Xenopus tropicalis: one gene and its partner. The main gene of each other region encodes a partner of the protein of the gene in region 2 in a complex. Links are inferred from orthologs where the notes say so. Each region holds a gene or a part of one and is shown on either strand. Other genes may lie near its edges.

What was found.
Region 1: eftud2 (region 2) and scnm1 share a complex: the UniProt entries of both Homo sapiens proteins name them as parts of the minor spliceosome. The link is inferred for Xenopus tropicalis from reciprocal best matches to the Homo sapiens genes EFTUD2 and SCNM1.

The regions. Positions count from the first base shown.
Region 1 is NC_030684.2:137,906,264-137,916,647, forward strand, and holds scnm1 (sodium channel modifier 1), read left to right. Parts: upstream 1-4,177; 5' UTR 4,178-4,272; coding exon 4,273-4,323; intron 4,324-5,169; coding exon 5,170-5,240; intron 5,241-5,363; coding exon 5,364-5,452; intron 5,453-6,009; coding exon 6,010-6,107; intron 6,108-6,994; coding exon 6,995-7,092; intron 7,093-7,230; coding exon 7,231-7,367; intron 7,368-7,591; coding exon 7,592-7,724; intron 7,725-8,295; coding exon 8,296-8,395; 3' UTR 8,396-9,814; coding exon of another isoform or gene 9,815-9,837; 3' UTR 9,838-9,896; downstream 9,897-10,384. Other genes in the region: lysmd1 (lysM and putative peptidoglycan-binding domain-containing protein 1), read right to left, coding at 94-274, 1,734-2,038, 3,592-3,762; tmod4 (tropomodulin-4), read right to left, coding at 9,815-9,837, 10,383-10,384. UniProt on the Homo sapiens protein: As a component of the minor spliceosome, involved in the splicing of U12-type introns in pre-mRNAs. Plays a role in the regulation of primary cilia length and Hedgehog signaling.
Region 2 is NC_030686.2:17,877,951-17,888,234, reverse strand, and holds the end of eftud2 (116 kDa U5 small nuclear ribonucleoprotein component), read right to left. Parts: intron 9,011-10,284; coding exon 8,920-9,010; intron 8,835-8,919; coding exon 8,699-8,834; intron 8,451-8,698; coding exon 8,323-8,450; intron 7,657-8,322; coding exon 7,463-7,656; intron 6,872-7,462; coding exon 6,760-6,871; intron 5,485-6,759; coding exon 5,344-5,484; intron 5,258-5,343; coding exon 5,156-5,257; intron 5,073-5,155; coding exon 4,990-5,072; intron 4,339-4,989; coding exon 4,252-4,338; intron 3,898-4,251; coding exon 3,771-3,897; intron 2,511-3,770; coding exon 2,423-2,510; intron 2,311-2,422; coding exon 2,192-2,310; intron 1,976-2,191; coding exon 1,881-1,975; intron 1,804-1,880; coding exon 1,650-1,803; intron 1,354-1,649; coding exon 1,246-1,353; intron 732-1,245; coding exon 636-731; 3' UTR 271-635; downstream 1-270. Other genes in the region: higd1b (HIG1 domain family member 1B), read left to right, coding at 1-35. UniProt on the Homo sapiens protein: Required for pre-mRNA splicing as component of the spliceosome, including pre-catalytic, catalytic and post-catalytic spliceosomal complexes. Component of the U5 snRNP and the U4/U6-U5 tri-snRNP complex, a building block of the spliceosome.

The DNA.
Region 1 (10,384 bases), on a different chromosome or scaffold from region 2:
TTTACAGCGTTTTCGCCTTCCTTGTAAACTTTTTGCCTTTGTTAAAAAAAAATAAAAAATACGAAGCGTAGACTTTTTTCACTGGGGGCGGGGTCAGAGTTTGAATATCTCGTCCTCGTGATCTCTGATGGTGGATGCCCGCGTGGTGATGGTGAGCGGCACGGGGCCCAGGAGAGAGCGCTGCTGGGTCTGCGGGGAAGACTGGCTGGAAGGGGTGCGGTTGGGCGACTGATAACCCCCGGCGCTGCCCGCCGTAGGCTCATCTTCCGTGGTGCTGGAAATAATGGTGGGCACACGTTACAGAATTGCTTTTCTCTGAAGTCAGGTGACTTTTTGGCAGCCTCAGACCCGACCCAGACCAACACACCTGCAACATGGACCTGTCTGGCCAATAGGTTTCCCCACAGCTGACCCGCCCACCCCGCCACAAGCCCCTTAATCAGGAAGTGACATCTGAATTAGCGGGACCAACGATGGGAATCAGAGAGTGAGGTCACTACTAGTGATGAGCGAATCTGTCCCATTACGCTTCGCCGAAAAATTCACGGATCTTTCAAAAGATTTGCGAAACAGCTGTTTCGCGTTAAAAAATTTCGCCCGTGACTATTCTTTTGTCGCCCGCGCCTATTATTTTGTTGCGTGGCTATTCTTTTGGTGCACGGCTATTCTTTTGTTGCGCGGCTATTCTTTTGTCACCCGTGGCTATTCTTTTGGCGCCCGCGGCTATTCTTTTGTTGCTCGGCTATTCTTTTGTCACCCGTGGCTATTCTTTTGTCACCCGTGGCTATTCTTTTGTTGCGCGGCTATTCTTTTATCACCCGTGGCTATTCTTTTGTCGCCCGTGGCTATTCTTTTGGCGCCCGCGGCTATTCTTTTGGCGCCCGCGGCTATTCTTTTGTTGGGCGGCTATTCTTTTGTCACCCGTGGCTATTCTTTTGGCGCCCGCGGCTATTCTTTTGGGGCCCGCGGCTATTCTTTTGTCGCCCGCGGCTATTCTTTTGTCATTTTTTCATTTGTTTCACTAAACAATCCACCAATGGAAAAACGCGGAAATTCGCCGCGAATCCATGCCTGCCAAAACATTTCGCCCATCACCAGTCACTACTTGTTTGGGAGACCGGAAGTGACATCACCAACAGGCTAGATCACCAGGGGAACTCTAATTTGCCCCATTCTCACCCTGCCACCCGTATTAACAGCCCAGTAACCCTCTGTCATGATTTCAACCCTAATTTTACTTACCTGCCCCCCCTAAGTCCTCTAAATCAGGCAGAGCAGGGAATATGGTTAGGGGCAGGACTGGGGCAAGTATGTGGGTGGTAAAGGCGTGACCTGGGAGAAAAGGGGGTGTGGTTAGGAGGCACTGCAGTACTTTACAGCTGTGCCCAACTCCCTCTGTTGGGTACCCACAGACCGCCCACACACTCAGGGCATCAGGGCTTTTCTGCTCAAATCTTGTCCATATTCCGTGGCTACCCGGTCCGATGCAGGACTCAGCTATGTGACTACCAAATCAAAGGGCAGTTGAATCCTAACAACCACCAAATGTAACCCATAATGCCACAAGCACGGGACACTTAATGGAGAAGTGAACCTAAGAGAGCCAGTAAAGGGGAAGTAAAGCGGTTTATACATCAAACCATGCGTGGGAATGAACGTAGAGCTGGCTTGGTGGCTGCCATATTGTAACCTAAGGCTAACTAGCCCTATTCCGAGGTTCCCAGCATACTCACAAGGACTCCCCTTCCCGGAGTTTCTTCACCGCCGCCCTCTTGGAAACACGGATGTTGGTGTCCAACCTGCTCATGAAGTCCAATGGCGACATCTCGTCCTTCTGGGCAGCATGGTGTCGGCTCTTCTGCTTCTCGCCCCTCTCCGGCTGCTGCTGTATGGGAGACCCTTCGGCCCCTGAACCGTCCTGAGAATTCTGGTCGTCGGAGAGATGCAATTGGTCGGCCAGCACCGGGATGCAAAGGGACTTCTTGAGGAATATGGAGTCGTTTGTGTAGAGCCTGTTGGCTCGCTTGATCTGCTCCATCTGGAGACAAATGGCATTTATTTTGTGATTGGTCCAATTGACCCCCCCGAATACATTGACAAAGAGTGACAATTGGACCATTTGCCATTTCTTCTATGGGCATTTCGTGGGAATTTCCTGCAGTGCAGTTGTGTAAAGGGGAAGTGGTGGCTCGGAAAGAGGGATTTCTCAATCTCTGGCCACATCCCGGCCGACTGTCGGCTGCGCAGGGTGCGTCTAGTTTCCCTGCAACTTCCCCAGGAGGGGTCACTCAGCAAGGCTGCCCTTAGCTTAGCTGGGGATGTACCCAGTACCCTGCCAGCCTTACCCACTGCTAATCCCCCTGCCCATGTACCCAGTACCCTGCCAGCCTTACCCACTGCTAATCCCTCTGCCCATGTACCCTGCCAGCCTTACCCACTGCTAATCCCTCTGCCCATGTACCCAGTACCCTGCCAGCCTTACCCACTGCTAATCCCTCTACCCATGTACCCTGCCAGCCTTACCCACTGCTAATCCCTCTGCCCATGTACCCAGTACCCTGCCAGCCTTACCCACTGCTAATCCCTCTGCCCATGTACCCTGCCAACCTTACCCACTACTAATCCCTCTGCCCATGTACCCAGTACCCTGCCAGCCTTACCCACTGCTAATCCCTCTGCCCATGTACCCAGTACCCTGCCAGCCTTACCCACTGCTAATCCCTCTGCCCATGTACCCAGTACCCTGCCAGCCTTGCCCACTGCTAATGACTCTACCCATGTACCCGGCAGAGCTTCCCTCTTTGAAGACAGATTGTAGGGAAGAGAGGTGGGAGTCTGGGAGGCTGGTTAGTAGGAGATTGCAGTAATCTAAGCGAGAAAGGATAAGGGCATGGATTAGTGTTTTAGCTGTTACTTGTGAAAGAAAGGGGCGTATCTTGGCAATATTGCAGAGGAAAAATGGCAGATAACCCCAAGGCAGCGTGCAGAATTAACAGGGTTAACGGTCATGCCATCAATAGTCATGGTGAAAGGAGGAGAAGTGATATTTAAGACCAAAAGAAGAAATAAGGTCTCCTAAAGAGAGAGTGTACAGGGAGAACAGCAAAGGGCCAAGCAAAGGGCCCCACACTGAGCTGAACCCCCACACTGAGCTGAGCCCCCACACTAAGCAGAACCGGGGTAGGGGATTGGTTAGTAAGAGCGACAGAGAAGGAGCGGTTAGAGAGATAGGAAGAGAACCAGGATGCAGCCTGATCCCGGATACCCAGAGAATGGAGACTTTGTATAAGGACTGAATGTGCCCTGACAGTGTCGTGCACCAAATTCACCATATTTTCATTTCCCTTCATGTTTATCAGGCCCACCGGCTGTATCTGAACCCAATGCCTTCCTGATAACATCCTGGGGGGTTGGTTCTAGGGTGGGGCAGGTAAGGCATGTCCCCTGGGGGGGGGAGTAGAGAACTGTACAAAGGGCATATGAGACTAACAGCTGTTAGATATTACCAGTTATACACAAGGGGTCTCCAGCTGTTGCTAAACTGCAACTCCCAGCACCCTACACCCTATAATAGGAAGGTACCGTACTCACCGTGACGCCGTATCTGAGTGCCAAGCCCTGCAGTGTGTCCCCGGGCTGGACCTGGTGCTCCAGTTTGCGGATCCGGGCCGGTGAATAGGGCGACTGGACTAGGCTGCCATAGGAACGGGTCCTGGTTCCATGGAGAAGCCCAGAGTCTCTGTGCCCAGAGTTGGATGCCATGGCTTGTGAGCTCTAAAGGGCAAGTTAACTATACATTGTCTGACTGGGCAGAGGTGGAGGCAGAAGTGGAGGCAGAGATGGAGTCCCTGCAGCCCTCAGTCACATGCTGGGCTACTAATTCAATCAGACTGAAAGAAAAAGGGAGAATTCATTAGTATCACATGACAGCACTGACAGGGGTTTGCCCAAGGGGGTTGGGCTGGGCTAAAAGCTGCCCCAATACCCCCAGCACAGACCCACAGCCCTTCCAGCTGCCCAGCACAGGCAAGTACCCAATAATACACAGCTCACTGCTGGGCAGGGGTGACAGGAGCAAGGCATGCCGGGAGCAGTAGTGCAGCACAGGCTCTGCCCCAGGATTCGCGGCTCTCACGGAACTACAAGTCCCATAATGCCCGGACTCCGCCTCCTCCTCTCCGGAAATAAACTACATTTCCCGTAAGGCCGCAGAAAGGAGTACGGTGGCCGCGCAGGGTTACAGCTCTCAAAGGGGGCGCTACAGGCTGGGCTATGTCGTTTAAACGGGATGGGGATGATCTGAGCCAGCTGAACGTTCTAAAGGTACGGGGTGATACCCATACAGGGGAGGGGAGGGTGTCTGGGGGGGGAAGGGTAGGGTATGGTGTCTAGAGGTGGGGGGAAGGGTGGGGTAGGGAAAGGTAGGGTGCCTGGGGGTGGGGGGAAGGGTAGGGTGTCTGTGGGTGGGTGGGGTAGGGTGCCTGTGGGTGGGGGTAAGGAAGAGTAGGGTGCCTGGGGGTGGGGGTAAGGAAGAGTAGGGTGCCTGGGGGTGGGGGTAGGGAAGGGTAGGGCGCGTGGGGGTAGGGAAGGGTAGGGTGCCTGTGGGTGGGGGTAAGGAAGAGTAGGGTGCCTGGGGGTGGGGGTAAGGAAGGGTAGGGTGCCTGGGGGTGGGGGTAGGGAAGGGTAGGGCGCGTGGGGGTAGGGAAGGGTAGGGCGCGTGGGGGTAGGGAAGGGTAGGGCGCGTGGGGGTAAGGAAGAGTAGGGTGCCTGTGGGTGGGGGTAAGGAAGAGTAGGGTGCCTGTGGGTGGGGGTAAGGAAGAGTAGGGTGCCTGGGGGTGGGGGTAGGGAAGGGTAGGGTGCCTGGGGGTGGGGGTAGGGAAGGGTAGGGTGCCTGGGGGTGGGGGTAGGGAAGGGTAGGGCGCGTGGGGGTAGGGAAGGGTAGGGTGCGTGTGGGTGGGGGTAAGGAAGAGTAGGGTGCCTGTGGGTGGGGGTAAGGAAGAGTAGGGTGCCTGTGGGTGGGGGTAAGGAAGAGTAGGGTGCCTGTGGGTGGGGAAGGGTAAGGTGTCTGTGGTTTTGGTTTGGGGTGTGGGTAGGGTGCCTGTGGCAGAGTAGGGTGCAGTTGTAAGGGGGAAGGGTTAATTTAATATCCCATTTCCTGTCTCCCTACAGAAGAGGCGAGTGGCGGATCTGCTGGCCAGTTACATCCCGGAGGATGAGGCTTTGCTTCTTAAAAATGGCAGGTAAGGGTCTCTCCACTGATTGGTTCCCTCGGTGTGGGCCCCTGGGAGGGCTTGCTTCTATATACCCTTATATTCCGGGGCCCCTGCCTATCCCTCTGTGTAACTGTGTTGTGTATATAACAGCTACGCTTGCACCGTGTGCCATCACCGGCCCGTCTTCAGTACCATCGATATGTTGTCTGTGCACAGAAGCGGGAAGAAGCACTTAGCCGGTAAGTTACTGACTAGAAAAGAGATCCATTTCCTGTCTTATGACTTCATTTCCTCTCCAGATTTCTGACATAACGTCCTGTCTGGCATTTGCGGATCCGAAGACTTGCCTAGGGATGTTCCCCTGTTGATTTATTAATTATTTATTTTTGTATTTATAACTTCCTGTCTGACTTTGTGACTTAACTTCCTGTTATGACTTCATTTCCTGTATGCCATTTTAATGTGGAGCCTGTAGCTACTGGTCTCTGCCCCAATACCAGGTTTTATTCTGTCTCCTCCCCCATTATCTTTCTATACAGGCCCTCTTCTGTTCATATACCAGTTTCTCATTCATTCTGCTGCCTGGTTGCTAAGGTAGTTTGAACCCTAGCAACCACATAGCTGCGGAAAACTGCAAATAATAAAAAATGAAGACCAATTGCAGATTGTCTTAGAATATTCTCTATATCATACTAAAAGTTAACTCAAAGGTGAACATCCCCTTTAATGACTGGTCACATGTCTATAATACATATTTGTGCAATGGGCCGCTGACTCCCTCTCAACTCTCCTACAGGTCAGCAGCGGTATTACGGCAAGAAGCTGGAGCATAACAATGAGATCCAGAAGAGGCGCCATTTTGATTTTGTACAGGCAGAAGATGCAGGAGAACAGGTGGGCAGATTTCTCTTTCTCCAGGCTATTGGCTATTAGGGGGCTGTTCCTGCTGAATTGTGCTTAGTACAGGGGAATCCCTATGTGCCATAGTTTTATGGTATCTCTCTGTACAGGCTATGAGCAAACTTAGGGGGTTGTTCCTGCTGAATTGCGCTTAGTACAGGGGAATCCCTATGTGCCATAGTTTTATGGTATCTCTCTGTACAGGCTATGAGCAAACTTAGGGGGCTGTTCCTGCTGAATTGTGCTTAGTACAGGGGAATCCCTATGTGCCATAGTTTTATGGTATCTCTCTGTACAGGCTATGAGCAAACTTAGGGGGCTGTTCCTGCTGAATTGTGCTTAGTACAGGGGAATCCCTATGTGCCATAGTTTTATGGTATCTCTCTGTACAGGCTATGAGCAAACTTAATGGGCTGTTCCTGCTGAATTGTGCTTAGTACAGGGGAATCCCTATGTGCCATAGTTTTATGGTATCTCTCTGTACAGGCTATGAGCAAACTTAGGGGGCTGTTCCTGCTGAATTGTGCTTAGTACAGGGGAATCCCTATGCTGCCATAGTTTTATGGTATCTCTCTGTACAGGCTATGAGCAAACTTAGGGGGCTGTTCCTGCTGAATTGTGCTTAGTACAGGAGAATCCCTATGTGCCATAGTTTTATGGTATCTCTCTGTACAGGCTATGAGCAAACTTAGGGGGCTGTTCCTGCTGAATTGTGCTTAGTACAGGGGAATCCCTATGTGCCATAGTTTTATGGTATCTCTCTGTACAGGCTATGAGCAAACTTAGGGGGCTGTTCCTGCTGAATTGTGCTTAGTACAGGGGAATCCCTATGCTGCCATAGTTTTGAGTAACTTTTTTTTATTTGCTCTCATATCTGCCAGCGTCCACCAGGTCCCGCCCCTTTGCTGGTCCAGACAAGGAAGATTACCCAGCATGCTCTGCTGAAATCTGCCCCGTACAACAGCTGCTGCTCTCACAAGTAAATCAGTTGGGGCTGAGCATTATGTGAATGATTGATATAATAATGACCCATTGCTAATGGCCCCCGGATTTCTCTGTTCTTATGGCCAAACCATATTATCGACAATTATATTTCTCTGCTGTTTCTCATTTGCAGATCAGTAGCCAATAGCAGGAAAGTCTATGATTGCCATTCCAGCCTACCCACAGGCTTAAACCATCCCCAGTCTGGGCCCAGTGCATCTGATGCCTCCCTACATTCTCCCCCTAGTGGACACTGCAGCAGCCCTACAGGTGAGCCATTCGCCAGAGAGGATTCTGGGAGATTAAGATGACAACTGGACACTTTATTTATAGGGAGCCAATACCAATCTTAGCCAGGCTGCTACTGTATACACAAGTAAATCTGATCTGTATATAGGGCAAACCTGTGCTCCTAATGTAGCCAAACTACAACTCCCAGCATTACTGTGAATTGCACTCATTCATTCTCAGCCTCTCTTCGTTCCCCTATCCAGAGATTCCCAAGCAGGAGGTCCCGGCAGAAAAGCACGGCAGTCAGCACAAGAAGAAGGGCGAGGAGAAAGTCAAGAAGGAAATTCCAGACCCAGAGAGGGAGAGGACTATGGAGCACTACCTGCGACTGAAGAGGTAGGAGTTACCTTGCTGGGATTGCTAACCCCTGTTGGGGCAACATAGCAGCTCCCAGTAGGTATCAGAATAGCACTCAATAGTAAGAAATCCAAGTCCGGCTTGGGACTCCTCCAGTTACATGGGAGTAGGAGAAACAATAGGTTAGCTGAAAGCAGTTCTAATGTGTAGCGCTGGCTCCTTCTGAAAGCTCAGACTCAGGCACACTTTACTGCTGCGCTGCAAGTTGGAGTGATATCCCCCCCTTCCCTCACCCCCAGCAGCCGATCAGCAGAACAATGGGAAGGGAGCAAGATAGCAGCTCCCAGTAGGTATCAGAATAGCACTCAATAGTAAGAAATCCAAGTCCGGCTTGGGACTCCCCCAGTTACATGGGAGTAGGAGAAACAATAGGTTAGCTGAAAGCAGTTCTAATGTGTAGCGCTGGCTGAAAGCTCAGACTCAGGCACAGTGCACTGAGATGGCGCCTACACACCAATATTACAGCTACAAATACATTTGTTGGTTCAAGAATAAAATGTTAAATGGCAGAGGGAATTATTTGCTGTGTAACAGTGTCTCTTCCCCACAGCTCTGGGTGGCTACCTGACGGCACTGGCAAGTGGGTAAAGGATGAGAATGTCGAATTTGACTCTGATGAGGAGGAACCTCCACCCTTGCCCCCCTCCTGATTGGTGGGTTCTCCGTGTGATGTGACAGTAGCAACCCTGAAGGTGTAACGTCATCCACTTGGGGACAAAAGCAGCCGTGTGGGTACAGCATTAGCGACTGTAATACAGCCGGTGTGAAACAAGTGGGTGGGTGGCAGCACAGCTTGGCATTGCCTACAGGAACAGCGCCCACTGGTGTAATGACTGGGCACAAAATGACATTAGAATTCATGCACAGTCCTGCATTACCATACTCTGCCCATTAGAGGGCACTGCAGCCCAAGCATCCACTCTCGGATCTGTTTTCCAAAACCTTCCCGTCCCTTGGCATCTGTGCACTGCGTGAAACTGAGACACCTTGTTACTATATATGCCTTAAGGGCCACATTTCTGCGCTATTTATTGGTTCGGAGCCTGACTCTGAAACCTGAACCACACACAGATATATGGACTTTTATATGCAGGAATAAACCAGGCGCAGCCCCTTCCCAGAATAGAGTTAGCCCCAGTCAGTTGCACTTTCCCTTTAATCACATTTCTCTATTATGCCCAGTTTATGAAGGCGAAACATCTGGTTGATGTGGTTTACAGAGCAGGAGGATTTTCTCAGTAAGGAGCAGCAGTTCAACAGACGGGAGGGGGGGGGGGGGGGGGGTGACTGTACTTGCCGAGCTGTGAGTCCCCCACCCCACAAACCTTAGCCCTTCACCAACTGCTGATTCTTCATTATATAAATACACCACATGACCTCAGAGGCCGAGAGCCGAGCAGCAGTGGCTTTTTATAGAGCAAGGAGCTTGCAGACGTGTAAAGGAGCCCGGGGGAAGATATACCCCAGGGAACCACCATGATATTAACCGGGGGGGGGTCGGACTACGCGGGTGGCTAGCACCCAACCCAACCAGCTCTTGGGGTGCAATCTACTTGCCGATGGATCTATCTAGAATGCATTATGCAGCCATTGAGTTCAAAGTCACTTTATTTACAACTTGTTAAATATAATGTATTTATTTCCCCCCCAAACCCGTGGTATTGGCGTCACTTCAGCTCCGTCGCAGCCTTCGGCACAATGTCGTGAGCGTTAAAGTGCAGCCTGTAAGGAAAGAAGGTGCTGTACATGGAGGAAAAGGGCGGGGCTTAAGAGGGAGATAAGCAGCGGGGCAGCATGGGAAGTATCTGAGAAGGCCACTGAGATGATGATGATGATAACATAGTGGGGTAGAAACGTATATACAAGAGGAAAGACCCTAGTGTGCCCTGTTTATTCCACTTTATAGTCTCCTGAATATTCTCCGTGAATTACGCCCGTGGGGCCTAGCCAAATCCGCCCTCCGTCCAATCAATGCGCTGTACACAAACATGACACATCACAGAACAGAGCCTATTTATAGGTAACGGGAGAACACTGACATTTCGACAATCAGGAGGGCAACGGACTCCTTAGACCTTCTTCTGCTTGCGACCTAGAAAACAAAAGGAAGAGGCGGTTACACCGTCCCGCTGCTGAGGTCACAGGGAGCCCGAACCAATAAAAACAGGCGTAAGAAGTTTTAAATTTCTAAAATTACTCTGTACAACCCCTGGAATAATATATTTTTTTTCTACATGCAGATTTACTGTTTTGCTGAACAGCAGTTCTTTTAGTTACTTCCTTGTCTAGCATAAAGCTCAGAAAAGAGGGCGGGTCTTCAGACTAGGAAGTCGGTAAAAGAGCTGCAGTTCAGCTTATAATAGGAAAACGAAATAAATATGCAGACAGGGAGAAAGGTATGTTTTTCTGGGGGTTGTACAGAGTAGTTTTGGGGCCTTTAAAACTACTAGTTGTATCTAGCAGTACCACTGTGTCAGGGAGCTGGGCTCTGGAGTAATGGAGATGCTTGTTATGCTTGGAGGTCCCACAGCTCTTTACAACAACCTGACATTGAGCTGATATCTTAAATAAGATACTCCAGGATAGGCCACCGCCCACCCTGAGGTCACATGGTGCTGATTAGGAATGGACACTTACGA
Region 2 (10,284 bases):
TGGAACAGCAGAACAGCAGAAATACTGATGAGTAAATGGATTGCCAGAAAATGGGAAATAGAAACAAAGTAGTAGGATTATTTTTCTCCTCCCTAATCTATAGGCAGGTTAGCTTGACTTCTGATGGGGAGATTTTAGTGCCTTTGTTGTAAAACATTCATGAAAATAAATGTGGTTTCTGGTCTAATGCCATAAATGCAAAGATTGGAGTGTAAAGACTGACCCCCCCAATTATCAGGAAAGTCATAGAACACAATAATGAAGCCACACTTACAAATTATCGTTATGTTTATTTTAAAACATAAAAATAAACAGTATGTACACGTCACACAAATAACCCTGCAAGGTCAGGCGTGCTTTATGCTTCCACTCTATGGACATTGTTTGGACAATTTGGGATTCTCAATCTCTGGACGCACTGCTCAAAAAAAATAGGAACATAGCGACTGGGGTTGTTTTACAAAGTGGCCAGAAACCTGACCTATGCCTGTCTAACCCCGCTGGCAGTGGTTTAACAACTGTAACTCATGTCTGGTTTGACGACAGAAGTACCAGGTAGCTGTTGTGTGAGAGTATGTGGCCTTATGGAATGAGGGAGAGTACAATCACGGGGGTTGGATGGACACATGTCCCTTTTACATAGGATAATTTAGCACCACATCCTGTTTCGCCAGTTCCAGCAACATAGGATCGTCGAAAAATTTGCTGATACTCACATCCTCGCTTAGGCCCTACGCATGGTAAAGAAATAATGTAAGAGGTTAAATGCAGAAGGGGGCGAGGCACTCCTTTATACAAGAACAGAGCATGAAGCTGTCTCTGCAGCAGTATTAACAGGAAAGAGAAATGCAACTCTGGGAAAAGAACTGGCCTAATTCCTAAATACAAAAGATGAATGTGTAACAGTTTGCAGCAGCCAGGAAGCTGAGCAGACTAAGTGAGCAAAACATTTGTTTCGAGTTCAGATGTAGCACTATCTGAGCCCACGGAAGATTTTAAAAAGTCCAATTTCTTAAATGACAAACTGGCATGACATTATTCCTTTCATTTGTATATTTCCCCACAACCTATGCTTCTCCAGGTGCTACAGCTGCTTATGAAGCCACGGAGAATTGCAGTTCCTCAGAAAAGCCACCAATTTACTCATAAACACACTGTTTAGGATTGAAATTGCTTATGAAAAGAAACCCCAAACAGTCTTTGAACAACCTGCCCTCTCTTCCTTCTCAGCCACATAGAACTTACCTTCCTACGCCTTGTCTTTATCATGAACTCCCTGGCAAGGTGTGGTGCTGGTTGTGGTTCCAAGGGCCGTATAATGATGCTTTTATCCAGAGGGTCTCCAGGAACAATCTACCAAAAGATAGCAGGCAAGTTAAACAGCAAACTGGCACAGTGCATTATGAAAATACTAGCGCCAGAACTAGGGGTAGGCACCTTCCCAAAGCACAGTGGGGGGTGCAGAAACAGAAAATGGGTAATGAACTATCAATAACTTCTACTTTCCCTTCCTTTGCAAGATGTTCTATGTCAGTATGCCACTAACTGTCAGAAAGCAGGAAATGGCGTGGTAAAATCACGGGGGTGCCACTATTTCAAACCATATCCAAGTTGATTTCCCAGGATATCCCAGATGGTTAGATTTGTACCTGCCAGTGATGGAAGACAGACAAGGAGAAGGCTTGTCCCTGGGTGTGTGTTCGCAGGTCAGTTTCAAACCCAAATGAATCTATTGCTGGGATGAAGGCTTTGATTGTGTAAAGAGGCGACCCAGGAATTGGGGCGTCCTGAGTCACATGCCCTCTGTAGAAAATGAAATATATTTAGAGTATGTTATGGGACAATACTGTTGGTCAGGAAGCGGAATCTCAATTACTCACCTTCTTCGGGCCAAAACAGTATAAACAGCAGAGACACAGTCTGCAGGGGCTTGTACTTCCACAAAATAATAGGGCTCCATTAGACGAGGAGTTGCCTGTATTTACAGAGGAAAGTACTTTGTGTTTAAGAGAGAAGAACCAAGGCACATGTCTTATATAAAGAGACGGTATGGTATAGACAGGAAATACATATATACATGAAGGTGCTTGTTTGTTATAGTGGGGGATACAGTTTTAGGGCACAGAGACACTTCTGTATTATATATAAAGGAACATGTGTATTGAGTCAATGTGGTGACAAAGGATGTTACCATTAGGAAGGCGGAGTAAACCACTCTTCGGGCTGTGGGGATGATCTGTCCCCCACCACGGTGTAGGGGCTCCTGTGCGATAACAGCATCCAAGATCTTAAATTTGACATTGCGGATCACTGAGGAGCAAAGGAGAGCAGAAAATCAGCAATTCCCTGTAGTGCCAAACTGTAGAATGTTTCCAATGTTACACTGTGACGGAACCAGAGAAAGGTGCAGCCAGATACTCACACTCATCACACAACGGACCCTCTCTTGTTCCCCACTGGAATCCCTGTACAATGCTGTCTTTGACTGAACTCAGCAACGCCTTATCCACCTATTAGGGCACAACGGAGAATTTCATTAACATGCAAGTTGATGGGCAGTGCACATAAGCAGCTCTAGCTGATAGATATAGAGATATAGATCCCTGTAGCAAGCTACTTCTGCATTTACACTCTAGGGTAATGTCGCTGCTAGAGCACTGGGGCAAATATGGATGTAGGTTGAGGTTAATTGTTAATCACTGCGTTGTAATAAAATATTTTAAGGGGAACTAAAGCTTAACTAAAGAATTAGGCTAAAAATGTTGTACATTTTGGTTAGGGCTTCTGTAGCAGCCCAAGCGACCACAGCCCTTTAGCATTTTTAGGGTTTAGTTCTCCTTTAATCAGGACCTGCTTTTCTTCCTCAACCAGAATTGTGAGCATTAAAAAAAATCTTAAAAGGGAGCCGGTCTTTATATTTTGGCTGCTGGCTTGTTTCTCCCAGTGGCCGGAAATGCAAACCTGGCTGGCAGAAGTGGTACCTGGAAGAAGAGCACTAGACATTCATAAGAGAGGCTTTGTCTGTGTCAATACCTTGCTAGTTTGGCACAAAAATGTTTGGCCAGGGAAGGCAGCTCTGATTTCATCTGCACTCCCTGGAACTCAATTGCAGAAATAATTCTGAGAGCAGAATGAAAGTCTTTGTCTAAAAGGAAACCTGAATTTAAATCACCAGCTGAGTTCTGGTACTATAGGCAACATCTGCACCCCAATCAACTGATACAAAAACCAGGTGGATCATACTAGACTACTGCAGTATAACCTAAAGAGGTTACATCAGCCAATCATGAAGCTGTAATCACTTAAGCCAGTGGTCTCCAACCTTTTTCACCAGTGAGCCACATTCAAATGTAAAACAAAACAAACATGCAAAAGGTTCCTGGGGGTGCCAAATAAGGGCTGTGATTGGCAATTGGTAACATCTATGTGGACTGGCAGCCTAAAGGAGACTCAGTTTGGCAGTAATCATGGTTTTGATGCAACTAAAACTTGCTTTCAAGCCTAGAATTTAAAAATAAGCTCCTGCTTTGAGGGCACTGGGAGCAACATCAAAAGGGTTGGTGAGCAACATGTTGCTACTGAGCCACTGGTTGGGGATCACTGCCTTAACCCATAGGTGCACTGGCAGAAGTCATTTTATCAGTGTTCTTTTGCCCATGGAAAGCTAAAACTTATGCAGGTGCTTTTACACTAATAGGTAAGGAAAGCCTGGAGGATAAAGGATGAGTACAAGAACAAACAATCTCCTCTACTGCACAAGTGCCACCTACCTCGGAGGGGAGCGTGTCATCAACCAAAATATTTGGTCCAGTTGTGTCTGGTCCAAAAGCCCAAATAGAACGGGCAGCAAGCAAATCCCAGTCATATTTGGTCTGAAAAAACTCTCCCAGCTTCTTCCTGAAGAGGAAAAGATATAGAGTTCACACACAGCTTTAACAATCACGAGAGGCAATATTTCAGGTGCTGTCAATATACAGAAACTAAACATATACATTACAGCATCAAGAACCAAAATTTGCAGAATCTTCTATGTTTAGCGCTAATTTGAAGGATATCGGTATTTTATGTACATTCATATTTTTAAAAATATTTTTGGTGTCAGTATCACACACCACCACTTCTGTGAATTCTACAAAGATTCCCACTTTACATGCACAAAGCTTACGGCTCTCTGTAAAAAGGCTAAAAGATACATGATGGTGTAACCCAACCACGGCTTTCAGACAGCTGGGTGCAGTTCTCATGCAATACCTGTTCCAGGAAATCTGCACCACTTCATTTTCTATGTCCTCAGCCAATCCTTTCTCCAGCGGCTCCGCAATCATTGTGATCTTATTTCTGCAAAGAAAACTCATGCCTGTTAGCACTGAGGCAGCTCCAGCAAATATATATTATCCAACCATTCATTTGAAATAAATGTTTCAAAACAAAAATAGGGATATTTGTGTTCAAATATTGAACTTCTCACTGTGGGAAACACTGGCCTCTAGTGGCCAAAATGTCATGAAACTGTTAAAAAGCTTTGCTTAAAGGAAAAAACATCCCTTTGTTTGGCATGAGTACATTTATTTGGGCTTATGTAAAAGTCATTTAACCTCTCTCTCTCGCCTTGTTCCATGCTGAAATGATGGGTTCTGAAAATGGAAGTCCTTCTGCTTTCCAGGGAATCTCTGTCCACCATAGAAAGCAAAGGCACTTCAAGTCCCAGAAGCCATCACTTTAGCATTGATAAATGGTCAGTTAAAGGTTGATGCATGAAATGACTAAGGTGCTGTATATTGAAGATAACTAGAAAGATGACCAAGATCACTGGCCACTTGGGCAGTCTGAGCTTCATGTTTATAAAGCCCGAAAAAACAAAGTCCAGAAACTGCACTGAAATGGCCCGACATGTACTTGTTCCAATTTAAGTCTAGAAAGGGGCTGTTTAATGTGCTTTGCAACAAAGAAAAGTTCTGAGGAAAAAGCTAATAAATAACATGGACCTACTTCTTGTTTGGTGTCTCAGCAAAACATTTCAGTGATGAGGTTTCCACTACAGTCTCGCAGAAGGTAACCACGGGATCTGCCACCTGAAAACAAAATGTTGAGTTACTCCCCAAGTCCTGTAGGCTGCGAGTCCCACCCTCCCCAAACAGATACCACCCAGCCTAACCTTAATGTCAATCTCTGAATACATCTTGCGGAGGTCATGCATGACACAGTCCAGATACAGCTCTCCGGTACCGAGGATCACATGCTCCCCGGACTCCTCCACCTACAGAGACAACAGGTATTTTAGGCTAAGCCTCAAGCCTAGCAGTAGAGGTTAAAATGATATTATGTGGAAGAATTGAGCAGTACCTTGGTAGTAAGGGAAGGGTAGCTCTTGTTGACCTTCCTCAACCCATCCAACATCTTGGGCAATTCTGAGGGGTTGACTGGTTCCACAGCAATTTTAATAACGGACGTGGTGTTGAACTTTAGCGGTCGAAAAATCTGAGCCTAAGATGCAGGATTCAAATTAAATTGTTATTTGATTTATAACAGCATAAGTGGTTTTACTCTATTATTAAGCTAATTCCTAGATGATTGCTCAGGACCAAGTGATCATTTAAACACATCAATACATAGTCTGCATAATGAGATGATATAGCATACTCTGCGCTGACACATCTAGGCCAATGTACTAACTGATTTACATTAATAGCTATTGACAGGGAAATCTTTTTTTGCACGAGCAAACTGGGGGGCAGGGCAAAGGATTTCCCTGATGACAGCACTAATTAGGGAACTACCTTTATTTATTTATTTAAAGGTTTTTATTTTGCATTTTTAACATAGAAACAATACATATAAACGTGTAACATTAATAAACATCATGTGGTTTTACATCATGTTGTCCTGAGTTTTGAATAAGATAGCACATATGAGATTTGCATTCAGTCTAGTCTAGAGTAATGGTCCTTACGATGGGGAGGGAGGGGACCAGTTCAGTCTGTGGCATCTATCCAGCTCCGCCAGGTTTAGCTATCTATCTACTGTGGGAGGGGCTTGAGCCATCCAGTGTAGTAGTATACATTTCCTAACATAGAACACTAAACTGCGGAAGAGAGTTCTCATGTGGATTGTTGGGGTGAGGTCATCGACCACTCCCAATAGGCAGACCTTGGGTGTTAGTATGTTTGGGTTTTCTCTTTGATATAGCTCATTATTTGTGCCCAGTAAGATTGGATGGTTTGGCATTGCCAAAGGAGGTGTATATAGTTTGCCTATAGGGCATTGCATTTGGGGCATTGAGATGACTCACGTCTATTCATACGATACAGTCTCAGGGGGGTTAGTTGAAGCCTGTGCATGATCTTAAATTGTATCAATCTGTCTCTGGTTGAGGTAATCATAGGCCCTGTCAGTGGCTTCGTCTCTGAGGGAAGTCTCTGTGCCACATTGTATAGGGAACTACCTTTTACATGTTAAACACATGCACAGAAGACTACAATTGCCTAAGTTAAGTTTTAAGCATTTTTGTACCAGATACTGCTGCATGCAAAAATGAACTTGACTAAACACTAAGGCAAAAAAAAAAAAAAAAGTCCTGGCATAACCAATCTTATAGTTCTACACACAGTAAACTAACACACTCGGTGTAACAGAGATGCAAGTACCAAAATACAACAGGGCCAAAAAAAACTGCTATGTGGCAGAAAAAAGAATGTTATCATACCCTCTTCATAAAAGAGCTGTGGTCACTGTTATGTATAATTGTTCAATCATTCATACCTCCTCATTGCCCCGTGGCTCTGTGATGGTTGCCGTCTTCACAATTGGCTGGTCCACACCCTCAATCAACACCCAGTTTCCAGCTGGAACTCTGTTCACTTCAATGTGATACCTAAATGAAAGATCAATACATTTGGGAGGCAGATAACTAAATATGACTTATTCATTCACTTCTCTTTAGACATGCCCCCCAAAACCTGTTAATCATAGGTTACTGGAAAGTAATACTTCTATGAGGGATCCTTTGTTTCCAAATTCTTAATCTTCCGCAAATTATTGTTCAAATATTACATTATAAACCAAATTAAATGCAGAGCTGAGCAGTGGGGTTGCAGTTGCCATGTTTGCTCAGTGCTTAACTCAAGGCTCTACGTTATTGATTGCTACCCATGTGAATGCAAACAAAACCCATGATGGCAGCCAGTAATCATGCTCCTGCTCGATGACTATTGCTATGGATCCCTGGTCTGGTAATGAACCCCACTGCCCAACTACTTTGGAACCAGGTACCGGGCACATGACTTTTACCCAGTCAGGTTTATGCGATTAGGGATGGGACTTTTAGTTCCCCTTTGACATTAAAGTCCTGATTTCAATCCAGTGGAGGCACTGTGACACAGTTTCTAAACAGAGATGCCATCTGACTAATTTGAAGCAAGTCTGCTTGAAAAACATGTCCAAATCACCCCTGTATATCACTCACCTAGCTACAGACACCCACAGCCTCCCTACAGTGCAAACTTGAGAGTCCTCTTCATCCTCCAGTGTATAGTTCTCTCCCAAAACTTTGACTGGTTGCCCAGCATGGATTGTTCCACTCAGTAACCGCCCAAATGCATGGAACTGCACCCCATCATCTGTGCTATACATCTTGGTGGTGTGACACATAAGAGGGCCCTGAAAGGGAGCAACAGTTTTGTGGCGAATGTCAGTTAATAAGATACTTCAAATTATATCAAATATAAACCAGCATGCTTGTGGTCACTATCTAGAGTGTGTGCTCTTACAGTTTTGCCAGAACTTAAATCTTTCCTTATCCTACTTTAATCATGCACCAATAACCAGAGAGTGAAAACAGGGTGTCAGGGAGTAAAGCCAGAGAAAAGGCTTACAAGTAATTTGCACACCTAGGCACAACAAAGATAGCACCCCCTTGTCATTTTACACTTTGACTCTCTTTTAATTGTCTCTACAGAAAACCTATAGTGGATTTTTAAAAAAATGCTCATGTTTCATAAACAAACTTCTATTACTACAATAGCATTCCAGGTTATATCAGTGAACTGTTAAAGCCCTATCCCTTGTCTGGAACCTAATGATGCTACAGATTCCTGTACGCCTCTTTTCAGATTTCATGTGCTTCTACATTAGCTGCATGAGAGCAGGCTGAGAATTCAAACTATTACATAAAATAAAGATGTGTGGGGGATAGTGAACACATACTGAGTCAGGATTCATACATGTAAATAATCTGTTAGTGGAATCAATACCTAGCAGAGAATTTTCAGCCATACAGTAAACAAGAAAAAAAAAAAGTAATCTGTGCATGAGCTGTGTACTTACATCTGGGTCACATTCACTCATGGCCTCCCCTAGTTCACAATCAATGCCCCCTGCGTAGGTGTGTTCAATTTTGGCTCTTGCCCCCGCTTTGGGTGAAGGGATGTGCTGGACGCACATATCCACAAAACCTGTAGAGCAACAATTTCATCAGCAAAAAAGCTCAAAAAGAAAAAACACATATAAGTGGGGCAAGCAAAGACTGATTTAAGATCCTAAACAGAATTTAAAGCACATTTTTAAACCATATAATCTTTAACCTACTTAAAAGGTTACATTCAAAGCAAGTTTTAAAAGCAGAGCACAAATTTACAGCCTTAATGAAAATCCAATACACGGTGAGCTCGCTTTAACAAAATTAGGAGCAGCTGGCTCTTACCGGTAAATTCCCCGAAGAAGCGGTTACAGACAAGTCTCAGGAGGGGACGGATGTTCAGTTTCAGCTCCTCTTTGGTCAGATGAATTCCCAGCTCCTCTAGAGTCTGCGGCAGAGTGGTGTCTACATCCCCCACCACCTACAGCGCAGAGAAGGCGCTAAAATTATCAAGCGATCTCAGATGGGCAAAGATAAGCTTGGCACTATTAACACCATCCACATACCTGAGCCAGAATCTTGTAGAGAGGTTCCAGTACGAACTCCACAAAACTGCGTTGTGAGCTGCTTGTAGGGGCTTTCTTGGTGAACTTGCGGCTGGAGAAAGAGAAGCGCTGTGAGCGAGGCGTGCCTCAAGGGGTTATTTGGTTCAAAAGAGACTACAAGCAGACTTTTGTGGAAAGGTCCTGACCAACACTTGAGTGGGTTTTGGCAAAGAAGTAAAGCTAGCCATACTCAGCAAGGTCAACTCATCTTGCACCGTTATTCTGCATGGGTATGATAATTACAAGTGTGACTTTTGCCTAAAGTGGGTCTTTTATTTATATCAAGTTAAGTACTACTGCTTTAAACGCCTCAGAAATGACTTTTCTGTAATTAGTAATAAAGGGCAATTTGAACTTGTAGGAATAATCTTCTGTCACTGCCCTCCCCCAGGTCAAATACAGATCAATAAAATACTGCAAAAATGATCAGAGAAGGAAAAAAAAACCCCATTTGGTGTAAAAATTATAATTTGTAGTCTTTAAAGAATAAGTACCGTATATACTCGAGTATAAGCCGATCCGAATATAAGCCGAGGTACCTAATATTAACTAAGAAAACTGGAAAAACGTATTGACTCAAGTATAAGCCTAGGGTGGGAAATGCAGCCGCTACTGCTAAGTTTCAATAATCAAATAAATAACAGATAAATAGATAACTTTAGGGAAAGAAAAATGCTACAGCAGCAGACAAAAGCAAGTTTGGGAACGCTAAGGAAGCTGCCATACTAATTATCAAGTACTTGGACCCCAGTGTACAAGTCCCACCACAGTACTACAAAAATAATTTTCTTACATTTTGAAAATCAGTCTTGTGATTGCAGTACAGCAGCTCTGCTTTATGGCTGAGATTCTAGTCATTAGGGCAGTAAAATTCTCTGACTTTTCTTTTGTTATTTTTTTGTATTCATCAGACTGTATTTGTGTGTGGTTTCACACAGGAAGAAACACAAATCACAGTTGATGTAAAAGCAAAAGGCAGGTGTCTTTGTAGTGTAGGCAGTGTAAAAAGGACTTGCTTGGTGCATAAATCTTCCTTACATACAGTATAAAGGGGAAGTCCTGTTGGCAGCCATTCTGCTGAAGTGCCAAGAAGATGTAACGCGCACCCAACCCCCCCCTGCCCCCCGTGAACGGACGTGTGTCTAGGTAGATCAGGGGAGGGGGTACTAAACTAATGGCTTGTCCCGAAGAGCTTACACTCTTATTACACAGTTACAATGGCCACCACGCTTCCACTCCTACTCACCAATGACTTGCCCCTTGCTGGTCCCATCCTGCTTCCCCTTGACCCCCACTGCCTTAAGAACTCCGCTCCTTCCCCTCCTT